Sus scrofa: one gene and its partners. The protein of the gene in region 2 binds, or shares a complex with, the protein of the main gene of each other region. Links are inferred from orthologs where the notes say so. Each region holds a gene or a part of one and is shown on either strand. Other genes may lie near its edges.

Region 1 (3,575 bases), on a different chromosome or scaffold from region 2:
GAGTTGGCCCCGGAGCTCCTTCTTGTTAAGGTGATCTAACATGCGGGCATCCACCAGCGACTCCATGAAGTAGCTGCGGTACTGGGGCAGCCCCAGGCTGGGCAGCCAGTCGTTTCCCACCCACTCGTGGTTCATGTCGCCATATGCCAGGATCTGGGGCCACGGGCAGGTGGGGGAGGGGTCAGGGCCTCTGACCCCTTCCCAGGGATGTATGAAAGGGTACATTCACCCCCCCATCCAAGGTTGTTCTTTCTCCATTCCATAGCAGGACAATGGCCAATCGCCGCTCAGGACAGTGGACAATCCAGAATTGTCTCTTTCTCCTTCATAACGACAGCATAGACCCTTGTCTACTGGAAAGTGTGGTCCTTGGACCCACAGCATCACTATCTCTTGGGAACTTGCTGGAATTGCAGGATCTCAATTCTAGCTACTCAATTCTAGGCTACTGAATCGAAAATTCTGTATTCTCACAGGATTCTCAGGTGCTCTGAGATGCATGTTAAAGTTTAAGAAGCACTAGTCTAGCATTGTCCCAACTCGGAACAGTGGATCCACCCAACACCACTACTCCAAGTCAGGACAACGGATTCTTCCAACAGAGCTCTCTCCCCAACAAAGGATAGCGTGGCTATCCACCACTCTGCACTGTCCCGAAAATACTAGGCTAATTGTCTACCTGACCCAGGACGATATTCTGGGTCAACACTAAGCCCTTTACGCCTCTAAACATAAGGAAATAACCCAGACCCTCCCCTAATGGAAACAAAGACCCGACGTAGCTCTTCTACCTCAGGTTAGTTCACACCTCTCCCCTCTTGAGAACAAAATGTAGCTCCTTTTCCCCAACTTCTCAGCCTGACGGGCCGTCCCCTCCCCAAATGCTTTCTCTTTTGCCCAGAGCCTGAAACAGCCCCTGGAGCCCCGCAACCCACCATAATGGAATGACCCGTGCACCACTATCAATGGAGCAGTCGGGCTTCTGCACCGACCCCATGAAGCCACAAGGACAGGCCAGAGCGGAGCTCCGCGCAGCCCTCCCCCCGCCCCGCGGTGGTGATGGAATAATCCGGCGAGGGTGGGGGCGGGGCTCGGAGAAGGAGGGGCGTCCATGCAGCGTGCACAGCCTGTTCATGCGCCCACGCCCCGCCCCGCGCCCCCTACCTGCTCCCAGCTGATCTCCTTGGTCTCCTGACCAGTTAGTGGGAAGAGGGGAGAGAAGGGGTGGGTTAAGGAGCAGGCGGAGGAGGGTGGGAGGGACGAACAGACGGACAGACAGCCACAGACTCCCTCCCACTCCTCCCGAGGGAAAGTTAGTGCCACCCCCAGGGCCGCCGGCAGGGGGCACTCACAGGCTTGGTCGTCGCCGTCAGGGACTCCATCTCTTCGTGTGTCATCCACACGTTCCCTGTGGACTGAAGGGCGAGGGGTGTTAGGGAGATTGAGAGAGGGCTTCTGGACCAGAGAGGGGAAGGAGGTCGTGCTCCTGGAGGAGACGAATCAGGCCTGGGAACACATACATTTCTATGCGGAATAAAATGATAAAATATTAAAAGGCAGTAAATGCCATGGGAAATAAGGATGGAGAAGAGTCTGCCTCCTGCGTAAGAAAGACTGAGGGTTGGGAATAGAGGGGAGGCAAGGAGACCCCACTGCAGGGATTATCCAGTTAAGAGACTGCGGAGCTGGGTCGACCAGATGGACCTGGAGGTGAGCAGGCCCATGATTGGCTATTCTGAGGACAGTAGGCGGAGCCCTGGGGCAGAAAGGGCTGCGATTGGCTCCTGGACACTCACCGTGCGGGAGGAGGCAGGAGCGGAGGGTGAGGTGAGTGAGACCATCTCCTGGATGGCGAGGCGCAGCTTGAGCCGGTGCAGTGGGTTGCTGATGCCGATCTCACGCTGGATCTCCGTGTCTGACAGGTTGGCCATGATGGCACCACTCTTGACATTGGCCCGGCAGGCAGCCACATACCACGCAGGCATGCCTACCCAGAGCTGGACCAGAGAGAGGCAGAGATGAGGGGAGACACACAGAGGTGCGAGAGAGATGGGGAGTGAACGGAGCAAAAGACATTGAGAGAGGGACATGGGGAGACCCAAAAGAAGGGGAATAAAAAAAAAAACAAAAAACACACACAGAGATGGGAAGAGAGGCAGAAAAATAGAGACGGAGGATCCCAGAGAGAAACATGGGAAAACACGAAGAGACAGCGACATCAGGACCGAGGTGGACAATGGCCAGAAAGACACGGGCGAGGGGAGAAGGGAAAAGAGCAACGGGAGGATGGACAAGAAGCCTGACCCCTCCGGGGACCTTACCCTCCCCCTCCCCCACCTCTGGGGTGTTTGGCGGGTTCCATCATCCCTAATGGTGTCATCCTCAAAAGGGCGGGGGCTCAACAGTCAGGATGGTTCTGGGCTTCAGTACCTCCAGCCAGGAGACCACAGTGGGCCCATCCCAGGCAGCAAAAGGCAGGCCCTGGCGGCAGGCCTCTTCCAGAAGTTCATGCCTGGGGAAAGGGGGCCAGGGCAGGAGCTCTCAGGGGTAGAGACACCCAGCCCTCTTGGGTGGCCCCCTTTAGCAACCCCCCCCACACACACAAAGGCACTTTATGAATGTAGAAAACATAGCAAAAGGTTCAAAAAAATTACACAGGAACCTCTGAGATCCTCCCCGCTCCCCGCACCAATCAAGAGAAAAGAGAAAAAAAGGAAGAAGAAAGAAGGAAAGCTCTAGGAGTTCCCAAGTTGCCAAGCAAGTTGAGGAGCCCAGACTCTCTCCCCATCCCGGAATTTTCTTCTCACATATGAGCACCAACCCTCCACACACACACACACACACACACACACACACACACACTCACACTCACTCACTTCCTCTTGTTCCTTCGATCCTTGTCTCCTGGGCCTGTCAGCTTGGCTAGTCCCAGAGGATCAGCTGCCAAGGTCTCATCTGAGGGCGTTCCAGCTGGAGGCAGGGAGGAGCCAAAATTTGGAGAGTCCAAAGGGGAGTCAGAATCTTTGATGCCAGGGGTGGGGGAGGGAGGGAGGATGCCAGGGAAGCAGAGGCCTGGAGGGATTCGCAGATGAGGCCACACGGAGGGGATGATAAAACAGACAAGGACCAATGACACCTCCTGGGCAAGGAATTGGAGAAACCCCCAAAATGGGGCTGGGTTCACTGGGCTGGCCTTGGTAAGCTGGCCATGGTGTGCTGGTAGACGACGACTGGCTCCCTGGGGAAGCAGGGAGCATTTCCTGATTTGTAGCATTTGCCAATTTCCGTGGTGTAAATTACCCCACCAATATCAAGCTACCAATGGGATGTCAAAGCAGCTGATAAAATGCCTAAAAATATAACTAACTTGGATTTCACAAGCCAGACAAGCAGGCGCTAGGAATATCGGGGGCCCTGTCTTTAGGATGCTCCTCCCTCTCTATTTTAAAAAAAAATAGGGAGTTCCCATTGTGGCTCAGCAATTAATGAATCTGACTAGCATCCATGAGGATGTAGGTTTGATCCTTGGCCTCACTCAGTGGGTTAAGGATCTGGCACAGACATGGGCTGTGGTG
Region 2 (3,553 bases):
GAGGGTTCCTGGGCCAGTGCCATTTCCCCTCGACCTCTGTCCAAGTCGGATAGGAGTTAGACTGAGGAGAGCTGCAGGCAATCACGAGTTTTTCAGGATTGTAACGGCGCCCGGTCTGCCCTAGTTCCCTCTTCCCTAAGGAAGCTTATTAACAAGAGCGCTTCCGGTTTAGTAGCAGTAGTTCCGAGCCTGTGTTTTATGAATAGCTTCGTCCGAATCGTTTGCCTTTTTCTGATGCAGCTAGCGTGAATGCCTGCTTTTTGTCTTACCTCACCCCTCCCGTCTAGGAACCTGGCCTCGGAGAGCTTGGAGCAGTGGCTCAGGATCAAGCTCTTCCCCACCGGCTGCGGGCCTCCTAGGAGTGAATAACCCGCCCAGGGCCCGTACGGTCCCAAGGTGTATCTGCTGCTGTGGCTACTTTCCAGTCGTCTTAGAAAGTACCCAAGTGAGGAAGAAGCTCTGAGAGGTCATTTTCTGGCTAGTCGAGCTGTTGAGGGCAACTGTGACCCTGAAGCCAGAGTGGCAGCCACAGTTGTTCAGTTCTGTTCGCAGTTCCAACAAAAGCCTCTCTCCCCGATGCCGACCTTAGGCCACGTCGGGTCCATCCGCAGTGCGCCTGCTTTCTAGGCTTAACGAGGAAACCTGGGGAGTTCCCTTCGTGGCTCAGCCGTTAATGAACCTGACTAGTGTCCATGAGGATGCGGGTTCGATCCCTGGCCTCACTCAGTGGGTTAAGGATCCGGCATCGCCATGAGCTGTGCTGTAGGTCGCAGGCGCGGCTTGGATCTGGCGAGGCTATGGCTGTGGTGGTGGCTACAGCTCCAATTTGACGCCTAGCCTGAGAACCTCCGTGTGCCACAAGTGTGGGCCCTAAAAAGACAAAAGAGAGGTTTTGGTCTTTCCCAACTTCCCCTCATCCACTCTCCGTTCTTAGGAAGTCTGTAATGCATCAGAAGCGTTTTCGATCTAGAAGAAGGTTGAGACGGGCTTGCTTAGGTTCGGCTGGTGCCTTCTTCGAGGAGGAGACCCAAGAGAGAAGCAGCCGGAGGCCGTCCACACTCGAGCTCTGACTCTGCCCGTGTCCTGGAGACCGTAGCTCCTTCCCGGGTCAGAGTCGGATGCTACCTCACACGCACACAGTTAGAGCCTTCTCGCTGCTGCTGGTGACTGAAATCCCAGGAGCAGCCGCGCGTTCATCAAGCCCCTGCCTTTGCGGACTTGGGAGGTGGGGCGGTGGAGACGGAGGGAGGATTTCTAACCGGAGCAGCCACTCGGCAGGTCTGAGGAAGGGCTCGCTGCGTGTAGGAAACCGTCCTGGTCCCCAGGGGCCCCTTGGCCTCCCAGGCCTTTCAGCCCCTGAGGCCGTCTTCCACCTTCGTGTGAAACCCCTGCCCTGCCCTGCTCTGGGTCACCGTCACCGTCACAGTCACCCACAGTCACGCCTTCCCCGGGCCTCCGTTCTGCGCAGGCGGCAGGCAGGCCCTCTGTCTCGGGTCTCTGCTGCTCGAAGGTTTGGGCCCTGCTTCCCCACCCGCTTTAAATTGAGACACAAATCAGCGTGTAACATTCCCCCTTTTAAAGTGTACGGTTGTTTTTAGCATATTCACAAGATTCTGCGGCCGCCACCCCTGATTCCAGAACGTTCCCTCACCCCAAAAGAAACCCCCATACCCAGGAGCAGCCGTAGCGGTCACTCCGCATTCTGGCCTCCCCCACCCCCGGCACCCACAGCCCTGCTGGGTCGCCACGCTTCGCTCATCCCAGACACCTCGCACGACTGGAAGTGGGACGTCCGTAGCCTCGGGGTCTGGCTTCTTGCACCCAGGCGGGCAGCCCTTGGGCCCTGCAGCCTCGAGGCTGCTTGTGGGGTGGAGGCAGAGGCCGGGGGCCCAAGAGGGCCAGGTCCCAACGACCAGGCTTCTTGTGGAGGATGCTGGGCCACAAACCTGGATTCCGCGCGTGTATTTGCGGGTCCTGGGGACAGCTCCCCGCAGCTGGGACAGAAGCTCATGGGTTGGTGGCTTTTCGCTTCCCATGTGGGTGGAAGTGAGAAAGGCGGCCGAAGCTTCGCAATCTCTTCGCCCGCTGCAGGTGTCCAACGGGCCGTCCTTGACCCCGGCTCTGCCTAAGCCTGTCCCCCTTTCCCTCCCCCTCCCTCACACTCACGCACACCTTGTAGGGCCCTTGGCATTTGGTCCCTGGCAGAGGTGGGAAAGCGCCTGGCTGCCCACGGGCTGGGCAGCGGCCGGGGCAGCATCTTCCCAGGTCAGCGCAGGGCTGCTGCTCCTCTTTGCGGGAGTCTCTCTGGCCGCCCGCTGCAGGCCCTCCGCTTGGGACCCCCCTGCCCCAGGCTGAAGGAAAGCTCCTGGGAGCTTCCTGGCAACTGCCAAGAAAACCTAAGAAAATACTGTTGACCACGCTGGCGTGTGTTTAGGTCCAGACGCCTCTGCTGAGAACAGACTCGAGGACTTGCTGGCTCTGTGCTTTACACTTGCTGATGCTCGGACCCCGTTCTGGCTGGGCCCCCTTCACACCAGGAAGGAGCAAGGCCGCTGTGCCCCTGCGCCCTCCCCTGCTGTCCCCTGCCCACCCCCCCCCCCAGGACTCTGCCCCGGGTTCCTGGCTCTCCTCCCCTCCTGCAAAACAAAGGCCTCTGAGCTGGACCCGTGCGCGGCTGCTGGCCGCGTGTCTGGGAGGAATGGCGCGGCGGCCGCTGAGGACCCGCTGTCTCCTGTCTTCTCTTGCAGCCAACAAGAAGGTCGCCTGTGCAGTCACCTTGGAGGGGCTCAAGGACGACGCCCTGGCCTCCGTTCCTGCCAAGATATCCCGGAAGAGCGAGCAGGTGCCCACCATCCTGGAGGAGCCCAAGGAGCTGCTCGGCCGTGCGAGCTAAGCCAGGTCTCGGGGCCACGGCCGCTCCTGCGCGGAGCCCCAGACTGTCCCGCCCGGCAGCGCGGGCCTGAGGGTCCCGGAGCTGCTCCTCGCGGCGGCGGCCGCCCGCGTCACCCCGCCTCCACCGCTCTGCGGCCTGCCGCCCTCTGTCCCTCGCGCCCGGCCTCCGAGCGCGCCGAGGGGAGGCCCGGGGCGCGCGCCCCGGCTCTCGTCCAACCAAAGCCGGCTCCGCGTCCGCCGCCTTAAGCCCCAGTGTCGCCCCTGGTCTCCGCGCCGTCTCTCCGCCAGGGGCACCTGCTTTCTCGGCGCCCGCTTTCCAGGGGGCTCCGGCCTGCGCCCGTCTCGCCAGCCCGTGCTCTGAGAGCAGCACGGGGCTGAGACGCCTTTGGGCTCGGTTCCCCCCACTGCTGTCACCCCGGCTCTGCTCCTCCCGCCCCGGGCTCCTGTCCTTCATTGCTGGCGGCCTGGCATCGGGAGCTACTTCCACGGAAGTGGGTAGCGATCCCTTCCCCCACCTTTTGGGAAAGACCTCCCCCACAGAAAAGGCCTAGGCCACTTGATCTGTGCCCTGGGGCCTGGGCCAGAGCCCCACTGAGGGCGGGCAGGCGGGGCCAGCCCCGGCCACTGCCATGCCTCGTGCCCTGGGACCCTCTGCCCGGCC
Region 3 (4,138 bases), on a different chromosome or scaffold from region 2:
CCTCACCCGGACAGGCGCTGGGCACGCCGGGCCGCCGCCCCCGCCTGTCAGTGCAGCCCAGGCGAGGGGGCGTCCCCGGGCCTCGGCCTCTCAGCCCGCCCGGCAGCCGCATCCTCAGCACCCGCCGCCTCGCACACCTGCCGGCGCGGCCCTCCCGATGGCTCGGCCCCGCGCTACGGCCCCCAGGGCCGGCCCCTTCGGGTCCGGGGATGGGAACGCGGGCCGCCGCTGGTCCTCACCGTAATGCTCTGGAAGACGCCCCCAGCTGTGGCTGCCCAGACGTATTTGGCGTCGCAGTAGCCGACAATGGCGGCTTCCTGGCAGCAGCCATCGCACATCAGGTTATCCACGTAGCTCTGCCAACCGGCCATCTTCGAGCCCTTCGCACTGCAGCGGGGACGGCGAGGAGCAGCAGGCGCAGCGGCGGCGGCGGCGGCGGTCGCAGGCGGCGGCGCGGGGGGAGGCGGGGCGGGGGCGGGGAGGAGGCGGCTCTGCGCAGGCACCGACCGCCCCCCTCCCCGAGGAGCTGCGGAGGGAGGACGCGGGGACGGCGATGAGGGACAAGCCGCGGAGCGCGCCCTACCCGGCCGCCCGCCCGCAACTGCGGGGCTAACTAACCAGCGGCACGATGCTGCGGAGCTGCTGTGCCGGCGGCAGCGTAGACTGCTTCTCACCGCGGCTCCCTAAGCACTCCGCGGTCCCGGCGGGGCGTGCGCGCGCACGTGCGTGCGATCCTTCCGCGGCGTCCTGACTCGGAGGGTCCCAGGAAGGGAGGGGGAGGCTGAGGGGGGCGCGGAGGGATACCGTCGGGACAATCACGGCTGCCACGTGCTACCGGCAAGGTCTGGGTTTTCCGGGATCGTTGCGGGTGTGTAAGCCTAGGACCCCGAGCCTGGGGAGAGGGCGTCTCCTCCGTGGCAGTCAGCACCTCAGAGACAGCAGCGTGTGGGACGCCTCGGAGTCTCCGATATTGGACCGTGAAATGCCTCTGTTCTGCGTCCGGAGGCTCGGAGATGCGGAATCTTGAACCTTGGTGTCGGATTTCAGAGTTGCCCTGGTGACGGGATGCGGAGCGTTTATTCCTCTTTGTGATGGGGGCCGCTGGTGGCCGGGTCGCCCACGCTTATGTTAGGTGTCCCCAGAGGGACCCTCTTCCCTGGACTCCTCTGCCTCTCAGCCATTAAGTCTGCCAAGCGGCCGCGCTCGGACAACCTGAAATCAGAGCGGATGTTCCTGGCTTTGAGGAACATTTCTGAGCTTTGACGATCTTTCGTCGTTTCTAATTTGGGTATCAGGTGTCTCTCATTCTGTAGATTCTTTGACAAAAAGTACCCTCTTAATTTTGCTAATCATGTGTGGCTGAATTGCTTGTAAATTCCGAACAAAACAAATAGCAACCTATGTAAATTATTGGTTGGTAACAGGGAAAGTTACTAATGGGTCGAAGACATCCCTGAGTTGCAAAGAGCTTTAAAATCTAAGAAAGGGTTTACTGGATGAACAGGTCATATTTCCGTTCTCGACGGGTAAAATAATTTCAGGACCCAGATGTGATAATGACTTTTATTTACAAGGGAAATCATGGGTAGAGTCTCTGAGAATCTCAAATGGTCTTTATTAACCTCTGGGCGCTATGACTAGAAGAGTAATTAGGAGACTTCCTACACAACTTCAATTTTAAATGAGCAAAACGACCTGTAAACCAGCGAAAGAGCGTCTAAAAACGTTGAAAAGTTGATTTTCAACTTTATAAAATTATCCTGTAAGGTCACAACTTGTGACAGGAGGATTAAACAGGTGTAACTAAGAAGACGAATGTTGCTAAGCAATCTAATTGGTTCTGAAGCTTGTATTTTTTTTTCCTACTGTTTGCTTTGAAAGGTACAACTCCTGCAGAAAGGGAAGCACAGTAAGAGAACCCCCAAGTGAGGTTCCATTCAGATTGAGACAATGAATTCTCTCATATTCTTATGTTACAGAAAATTTGTTTTAAAATGTGTCAAAAATTGTTCCGTGTTTGCAAGTGTGCCTCTCACTTGATTTACACTCTCATTCTTGTTTACTACTTTTTTGTGGTGGTCGTTGATGATTTTAATCCTTCAATATTACCAGTTTATCAACTTAAAAGTTAATAGCAGTGTGCTGATAACACAATATTGTCATAGTAAGAATTTGTCAAGCTCCACACTTATGATTTGTGCTTTGTACACATCATATAATTCAATAAATTTAAATAGTAAAGGTAATGAGAGAAAAGAAAAACGATGATAGTTTGAAATTGACTTTTATTAATCTACTCTGAAGTTTTTAGGATTTAATTTTTAGACTATAGCAAAGAGATGCAAATAACTGCATTCCATTGTTTCTTTTACTGTTATCTTTAAACAGCAAAAGGATTACACTAATTGGATGTTCTGGATATTCAAATCTCAAAACATTCTAAAACACACTGGGTAAAACAACAACACTGGGTAAAACATAAGAATTTTTTTTTTTTTTTTTTTTTTTTTTGCTTTTTTGTCTCTTCTTAGGGATGCCCTCATGGCATATGGAGGTTCCCAGGCTAGGGGACTAATTGAAGCTGTTGCCGCCAGCCTACGCCACAGCCACAGCCACGCCGGATCTGAGCTCCACTGCGACCTAGACCACAGCTCACGGCAACGCTGGATCCTTAACCCACTGAGCGAGGCCAGGTATCGAATCCTCATCCTCATGGTTCCTAGTTGGATTTGTTTCCGCTGTACCATGATGGGAACTCCAACATTAGAGTTTAGAGCTCCTATAATCATTTTTCAAAATATAACATTTTTAAATTATTGTTCCACTTTTCCAACAGTGTTCTTTTCCACAATTGCATACAATAAATTTTATTTGTTATACAGTAAATTTTAAACAACAATGAAAAATAAATCTGTGTTAAAGACTAACTGGGTTTTACAGTTTACATTTTGAGATGATATATTCAAAGAAGTTCTACTGTCTGTCTCTTTTCAGTACTATAGTAAAAGAATCCTGTGCCTGTTTTCTTTACAGCCAGCTTAGGCCCACGCTGCCTCATTTTCTGTTTGTATGCAATGATCTGTCTCTATTTCATATAATATTGCTAACCACAAAGTGTTTCAAAAGGTATAAGTAGAAGTGAGTTTTAGGATTAGCAGTATAAGTAACTTAAGTCCCAGAGAGTATCAGTATGAGAAAATGTACTAATTTGTATCTCTCTCTCCCGTTTTTCAGGGTAATTGATCCCTGCAGTGATAATAGTGATGTCTGGGCAGAAGTAGACAAAAGTCAAAACTCTGTTGTTGATACAGATATCCAGATGTAGCTAATAATAATCATAGCTTATTTAGATGTGGAATGCATTATTATGCATTCTTTCAAAAAATATTTTATTCTTATTTAGGAAAACAGTAACTATGTGTTAAGCCAGATTCTTCAATGTATCAGTCAAGGAGTGGCTGAGCCCATTTAAGTCCATGTGCACACCATTTTAGCAAAATACCAAGAAACAAGAAGTTCTGATTGTGAAGATGTAATCAACCTGATAAACACTGGGGTAGGAACTGAAACTATGGAGAAACAGTAAAACACTAATTAAGACCACTTCAAACCTTTAATTAACTGAAATTAGGACTTTCAACTTCATTTTTTAAAAATGTTTTTGTCTAGTATGCAATCTGTCCTTTAATTTTTCATTCATGTGGAATTTTATATGTTCAATTTCTATTCTTTTGGTGTTACCCTGGAAATTTTACCATGCATATTTAGTAGAACAAAGCTTTAAATTAAATAATATCTTAAACCCCCTAATCAGACAATCTGAGGACCTTAGAACACTTTAAGTCTGGTCACACCTCTGCAGACTATTATTTTACAGAGATGTTTACACACATGTATTTATACATTTCCTATTTTACTCACCATTTCATATCTCAGACCATCATTCTATGATCATTTTTTTCTTGCTAAAGTAAATATTTAGAAGTTCTTTTAGTGGAGGTCTTTTGATGGCAAACTTGCTGGTTTTATCTAAAAATGTCTTTATATTACTTTCACTTAAAAAAAAATAGATTGGATTTACAGTGTAAGACCGACACCTTGAAGATATTATTTCATTCATTCTGATTTTCATCATTGC

What was found.
Region 1: the proteins of DIAPH1 (region 2) and PPFIA3 are in contact, whole or in part, in a crystal structure (PDB 4UWX), measured with the Mus musculus proteins. The link is inferred for Sus scrofa from reciprocal best matches to the Homo sapiens genes DIAPH1 and PPFIA3. Residues at the interface, in NP_031884.1 of Mus musculus: Lys252, Ser255, Ala256, Ile259, Gln307, Asn310, Ala311, Thr314, Pro315, Ala316, Glu317, Arg322, Gln352, Cys354, Val355, Glu358, Gln359, Glu362; in NP_084017.2 of Mus musculus: Pro719, Arg720, Arg723, Leu724, Arg726, Met727, Ala728, Ala730, Leu731.
Region 3: the proteins of DIAPH1 (region 2) and PFN2 are in contact, whole or in part, in a crystal structure (PDB 2V8F), measured with the Mus musculus proteins. The link is inferred for Sus scrofa from reciprocal best matches to the Homo sapiens genes DIAPH1 and PFN2. Residues at the interface, in NP_031884.1 of Mus musculus: Ile635, Pro636, Pro637, Pro638, Pro639, Pro640, Leu641; in NP_062283.1 of Mus musculus: Ala2, Gly3, Trp4, Ser6, Tyr7, Asn10, Ala28, Tyr30, Trp32, Arg108, Met131, Tyr134, Leu135, Ser138, Phe140.

What each region holds. Positions count from the first base shown.
Region 1 is NC_010448.4:54,330,905-54,334,479, reverse strand, and holds part of PPFIA3 (liprin-alpha-3), read right to left. Parts: intron 2,971-3,575; coding exon 2,877-2,970; intron 2,513-2,876; coding exon 2,431-2,512; intron 1,998-2,430; coding exon 1,797-1,997; intron 1,416-1,796; coding exon 1,353-1,415; intron 1,192-1,352; coding exon 1,165-1,191; intron 154-1,164; coding exon 1-153. UniProt on the Homo sapiens protein: May regulate the disassembly of focal adhesions. May localize receptor-like tyrosine phosphatases type 2A at specific sites on the plasma membrane, possibly regulating their interaction with the extracellular environment and their association with substrates.
Region 2 is NC_010444.4:143,159,521-143,163,073, reverse strand, and holds the end of DIAPH1 (protein diaphanous homolog 1), read left to right. Parts: intron 1-2,747; coding exon 2,748-2,893; 3' UTR 2,894-2,989; downstream 2,990-3,553. UniProt on the Homo sapiens protein: Actin nucleation and elongation factor required for the assembly of F-actin structures, such as actin cables and stress fibers. Binds to the barbed end of the actin filament and slows down actin polymerization and depolymerization.
Region 3 is NC_010455.5:90,183,066-90,187,203, forward strand, and holds the start of PFN2 (profilin-2), read right to left. Parts: upstream 2,914-4,138; 5' UTR 372-2,913; coding exon 240-371; intron 1-239. UniProt on the Homo sapiens protein: Binds to actin and affects the structure of the cytoskeleton. At high concentrations, profilin prevents the polymerization of actin, whereas it enhances it at low concentrations. By binding to PIP2, it inhibits the formation of IP3 and DG.